2 linked regions of the Kluyveromyces lactis genome follow. The protein of the gene in region 2 binds, or shares a complex with, the protein of the main gene of each other region. Links are inferred from orthologs where the notes say so. Each region holds a gene or a part of one and is shown on either strand. Other genes may lie near its edges.

The links.
Region 1: the proteins of MDY2 (region 2) and SGT2 are in contact, whole or in part, in an NMR structure (PDB 4ASW), measured with the Saccharomyces cerevisiae proteins. The link is inferred for Kluyveromyces lactis from reciprocal best matches to the Saccharomyces cerevisiae genes MDY2 and SGT2. Residues at the interface, in NP_014530.1 of Saccharomyces cerevisiae: Gln82, Lys118, Leu120, Gly123, Lys124, Val125, His127, Met147, Lys149, Asn151; in NP_014649.1 of Saccharomyces cerevisiae: Asp28, Gly29, Asp31, Ser32, Asn34, Val35, Asp38, Cys39, Glu42, Arg48.

What each region holds. Positions count from the first base shown.
Region 1 is NC_006040.1:104,089-107,252, forward strand, and holds SGT2 (Sgt2p), read right to left. Parts: upstream 1,767-3,164; coding exon 759-1,766; downstream 1-758. Other genes in the region: KLLA0_D01133g (uncharacterized protein), read left to right, coding at 1-695; ALG6 (dolichyl-P-Glc:Man(9)GlcNAc(2)-PP-dolichol alpha-1,3-glucosyltransferase), read right to left, coding at 2,648-3,164. UniProt on the Saccharomyces cerevisiae protein: Co-chaperone that binds to the molecular chaperone Hsp70 (SSA1 and SSA2). Regulates Hsp70 ATPase activity. Required for recovery from heat shock.
Region 2 is NC_006037.1:674,413-677,181, forward strand, and holds MDY2 (Mdy2p), read right to left. Parts: upstream 1,393-2,769; coding exon 757-1,392; downstream 1-756. Other genes in the region: Rab GTPase-activating protein MSB3, read left to right, coding at 1-645; SHR5 (Shr5p), read left to right, coding at 1,620-2,396; TGL4 (triacylglycerol lipase), read left to right, coding at 2,655-2,769. UniProt on the Saccharomyces cerevisiae protein: Required for efficient mating. Involved in the production of alpha-factor, the KAR9 and TUB1 location to the shmoo tip and nuclear migration into pheromone-induced shmoos.

The sequences.
Region 1 (3,164 bases), on a different chromosome or scaffold from region 2:
AGTTAGAACCGGAGGAGATAAACGGCATTCAAACTTTCTTGAAATACAACCTAGCTGAGTTTCAGAAGCTGAGAAATTGTTTGATTATTTTGAAGAAACTTGCGATAGTACAACAAATCAAACACAGAGATGTCATAACGATGCGAAACTCTTTCCTATCTTTGGGGAACCAAATGTCGCAAAAAGGTGTAGCAAAAAGTTTTGAAAATACAAACTGCGCTTGGTCTTATGATCTTTCATATTATGAGTTTACTCGAAACTTGGAATATCTAGAGCACTCTGTTGTCACTTTACTTAATAACTTTGAGTCTCTTCTCGCAAAGACAACTTTATGGTGGAAACATTTTGGTGAATTAATGGAACTGAAGAAAGAGTGGAAGAAAAATTTCCCAAATGACAAGGCGCCTCCTTCTTCAGCAAACAGAAATTTTATAGATACCTACATTGAAGGTAAAAGGTCTAAATTTAGGAATAAGTTATCCAATCAACTGAAAATGAGCTCTTTGAACCTTAAGAAAATTGGCGGTGAAATCAAAACAACACATGAATCGATCGCAGTGGGGATAAATCTATTCATCGAATTCAAAGAGCAGTTTTACCACGATCATATCGTTAAATCCATAGTTGATCAAAGAATCAGGGAAAATAAACAAATCATGCAACAATTGATTGATACCATGAAAGGGCATGTTTAACTAGTCATATATAGATCAAATATATACAGTCAAAAAGGACAAGCAAAAGTTTGGGTATACTGGTTATTGCTGGCTGCCGTTGCCGCCACCAAACATGTTTTTGGCCATGTCTCTAATAGATGGGTCATTCATCATTTGACTCAAATCTGGCATGCCGCCACCAGATGAGAATTGGTTGGCCATTTGCTTCATTGCTGGATTGGACATCATATCCTGCATTAGACCTGGATTTTGCATCATCTTTTCAGCGGCTTGCATAACTTGAGGGTTGTTTAGCAGTGCTCCTAAACCACCGCCTAGACCGCCACCACCTAACAAGCTTGAAAGATCTGGTAAGCCACCAGCGCCTGCACCAGGACCTTCAGTCGCAGATTTGTCAGAAACATCTTCAGAAGAAGCGCTGGTAGAGCTCTTCTCTAAGTTCATTGAGGTTTCTACCTTCTTCTTGGCAGTTTCGTAATCTCTTTTCATAACGTCAGTAGCTTTTTCCCCTTCGATATCTAGGACCTTCTTGTAAGCATCTAAAGCTTCTTCAGGCTTATTCAAAGCATACTTCGCAAATCCAAGTCTAGAAAAACCCTTAGAATATGTAGGATCAACTTCAATAGCTTGCTCGGCGTCCTTAACGGCCTGTTCGTACTGCTTCAAAGAAGAATAAGCTGCAGCCCTGTTCGAGTAGTAAACAGCGTTAGATGGAGAAACTTCGATAGCAGCAGTGTATTTTTCAATAGCCTCATCAAATTTCTTAGCAGCCATGGCCTTGTTACCCTGTAGCTTTAATTCTTCAGCCTTGGCCTTAGCTGCTGCATCTTCAACTGGAATATGAACCTTCACTGGTTCACCAGAAACGCCTCCAGAAGAGGGAGCTGAGGCTAATAGTTCAGGTAATTTCTTGCCATTAAAAGGACCAGAGATTAAAGAATCAGTCTCATCTCTTTCAAATTGGAAGGCCTCAGTGATACAGTCGATGGCAACATTCAACGAATCAACATAGTCTTCGTTTACTGAAGAAGACGATGATGACAAAAAGTCAACAATCAAAGCAGCAATTTCCTTATTAGATAGGGACATTCGGATTTTCTAAACTTTTGACAGTGCTTTAAGATGAAATAAGGATCACAAACCGCTGTATACGATAAGATGAAGCAGTAACAAAGGACGAGTCAATGATAACTCTTCTTTGAAAGTACATAAAATCCAGGCAACTTGTCATTTAAGCACTATTATAATAAACTTTTTCCTGAATGTGAATGGCGAAAAAATGATAAGTACGGAAAAACCTTCGGTTAGAGAAGGCAACAGAAGACGAAAGATTCACAGAGACACGTCAATTTCACATCGTTAGCATTTTTAAGCTGACTCGTGCCGTCTTAATTGAGAAGTAGTGATATTTGATAGAAGCTACTAATAGTTTGGAACCATCAACCATGGAAAGGAAGTTCAAAGAGTTGCTGGCTCCTTGAAAGAAGGAAAAAGTTAATCAAAAACAAAATCTTCCCCGCCAGGACTCGAACCTGGAATCTTCTGGTTTCAGAAGTAGCTAACATCGTAGCCAGACGCCGTGACCATTGGGCCACGAGGAATAAGATTTCGTGACGGTTACTACTTTTCGTTCTATATAACAGCTACAACAGATCATATGATACTTTTAAAGTAATATTCAGACTTTACCTATTTAGTGAGTATGCCGTTACACAAATACGGTGCATCCAGCATGGAGAGTTTTACTATATTGAATTTCATTACGAAGAATTGTTTTTCTCATTTACGAGTCTTATACTGGTGCTTTTTGTCTTTGTTTATTTTTGATCGAAACTGACATTCGATATATGAATACTAATTAAAGTGTAAGTAGAATCCTAAATGATTAAACAGAGGAGTGAAATATATATCCCGGTTTTGCTCTTGCAAGGTACGCCCCGTATCATTACTGCTATTATAAATTTTAACATCTATAAATCTTGCAAAGTGCTGTTTCTCATTTCGAATAATTTATAATTGTTCCATATCCAAAATGTCACAAAACATGAGAAGCCCAAGGAACAATTGGCAAGCACCCATAAATCAGGGTATTTTGATGGCGGGGAGACGTAATAGTCTAGAAAATGAATAATCCCCATTGCAATATATGAGCCAACAATGATTAATCTCCATATTAGGCTCTTGGGTAGTAAACTTGCCCGTCTATAATCAACATCTATATCACTGATGGATGGCCCTGGTGTCAAAAATTTTGGGAGGAAGCGTGGTGTGACGAAACTGAAGTTACCGATCAACCAATTGCTAAACATGAACATGACTCCATATTGCAATACTAGATTGTCCTTTTTCAGTAATGGCCAGAGTGTAAACAATGCCACGTTGTTAATCCAACAAACCAATGATAGAACATTCCAATCTCTTGACGTGTACAAGAGTGTAATAGGAAGTAAAGGTAATAAGATTGTCTTTTCATGAACCTGGAAGCTG
Region 2 (2,769 bases):
CCACACTTTTGGCAAAGAATATATTCCAATAAAGATCAACAACACAGTCCCGGCCTATCCAATAAGAACGAATTTCTCTATAAGTTGCCACCAGTCACACTCTGTACTGCCAGTTGGTTCATGAGCTGTTTCATAGGAGTAGTACCTATTGAAGCTACCTTACGTATATGGGATTGTCTCTTCTATGAGGGTTCACACATTCTTTTCAAGATGTCGTTAGCGATCATCGAACTAAGCGAGACCAATTTACCAAAATTAAATCACGTTAGCAGCCGAAACTCAGACGATGAAGACATGGAATTATTCCAAGCTATTCAAACATACCCTAGACGGTTGATAAACCCCAACGATATTATAGACAAAGCCATCTTCAAGAGGAGATTGAGATTCAATGCACTCAATCAAGAGGAAATCGAACGATGTAAGAAGTACGTTATCTCTCAAAGAGCCAAATACAAGAACTTCCAAGATGTAATGAAGAATGAAACCACCAACTCCAATAATAAGAGAGACTCCAAATTGGCACAGGAACTGATCAATGAAACCTTTTCTAACGAAGGATACGGATTCAAGAAGGGTTTAAATGGGGTAAATTGGAATAATAACATCAAAGAAAGAGTACGTAGATTGAGCAGAAAGAGGTAATTCTCTCATCACCAATGGAAGAAAGAGCAGAAATATCTAAAAGTATAAAATCACTACATATATAACCGGGTTGTTTTGCATTATGGACCAACAAATGACATGTTCTATCTTTTACTTACTCAACTCCCAACCTTTCTGTAGCCTTCCAAGGGCCACTGAGGCCGTGCTAGCATCCAAGCTACTCTCTAAAACGGTTCTAATTTTATCCCAAGGCAAATCAATATCTGTTTGAGATGAAAGATCCAACTGTGGATCCTCCATATCGACATCCATCAACTCAAGTTCAGGTTCAGGTTCCTGCGCTGGTTTCGGCAAAGGTGCTGTTTCCACAGGTTTCTCTGCTTTGGAAACCATTGCGACAAGGGATATTTTATCCTGGTTCAAATCGGAGACCAATTGAGTGTCGTGGAGGACTTTACCCTTTAACAACAACTTGATTTGACCAGTTGTATATATCTCAGGCTCGGTTTCCACTAAGAATTCCTTGATCTGACCCACGGTATCGGTAGATTCGAAGCTTTTGGAATGAACAAATTTAGGCGCTTTGATCGATTTGATGGTAACTTCTACAACTTTAGAGATACTCTTAGAATGTGATTTACTTGGATCATATTTGTACCTCAATGGGGGCAACGAAACACCAAGGTTTGTAACTTCATGTAATGGTTTGCGGTAGTTCGATGCAAGTTTTGGCTCATTCAAAGCGGCCAAACTCAAAAATTTACCAACGAAATCAAGTTCAGACATGATTGGAGGTGGGATGTGCGATATTGTAGTAGTTTAGTTCCTTATACTCCCTTATACATCTCTTCATTAGATGTCTAACTTGTGTTAGTGTTAATCTGAACATAAATATCAATTCCGTTAAATTTATTTCAATTCCTACATAAAAGGGTAAAAACACGAACGATATCAGATCAATACGGGAAATAAGAGGTAGAAACGGCATTCTACCAGGTAACATTGCAACACAAATGGTATCACTGGTACTGGCAGATACTGCAGACAGTTCAGATCTATCTAAAGCTGCGATTACCGTTGAAGAATCAACTTCTGCACAACAACCGAAATTCTTCAATTACCATGAATTTGTGATTACAAAGTACAGAGCACTAGATGAGGAATCATGCGAAGAGCATGGACCTGAGAATCCAATCTGCATCACCCATTTTCCAAACATATACGTACCTGAAGAAAGCGATGAATTTAGAACCACTAGAGTCGTTCGAATTCCCAGAAGGTTTGAGTCATCCACAGAATTTCCTAATTTCAGCACACAGTTACCTGGGTCTGAACCAGCAGCCTTACCAGATACTCACAACAAGGAGTTCGTTCCGGCAGGAGAGTTTGAAGGCCAATGGTATGGCGAAACGTCAGTGAGCCCATTATCAAACTATTTGGATCAAGCGGAATGGACTGAAATTGTAACTCGAATCAATTCACTCTTAGAGGCTGCATACAACCCAATAACCAGAAGAAATTTTGTCAACGTCATATTGGACCTCTTGACACTGAACTTATGGAGTATCATCGAGCCATACCTGTTCGTTAACCCGTTGCAATCAGTTGAAGACTATGTCTCGGAAATCAATCGATCGGAATCGTTCAGATTGAAGGGCATAAAGATCATTCCGCCCCGAGAAAGCTCATATCTATCGGTATGTATAGATAGCCCAGCATGGATTAAACCATGCACAGCCATAAATGAACCCTTACTAACCCATTGTGACACCCTTATCGTCCTTCTTTAACCAGCTTGATGTTGTAACACCGATGCCCAATCACTGTTGACGGCGTTGAAACCTTTAAGGAAACATGCAAAGGAAACAAAGCAAAGAATGACACTTTAATAACCACCACATGACTGATTTGCTTGAAAGGATTCTGTTGATGTGGTCTAATCAACCTATAAAGGGCACGAAGCATAGCATCAGATAATAAGCTTACATACGCTTTGCTCTGTTGCATACACACAAACCTGCTGAGCGGGATATTACTTATATTTTAGAATGCCGAATGTCATGAACACGCCCAGCGTGACTGATATTAAAGATGACCCGATTACTAGTTATGTCATTAAGAACTACTACAAGAGGGCCAATAAGGGCGCCGAAATGACAGAAG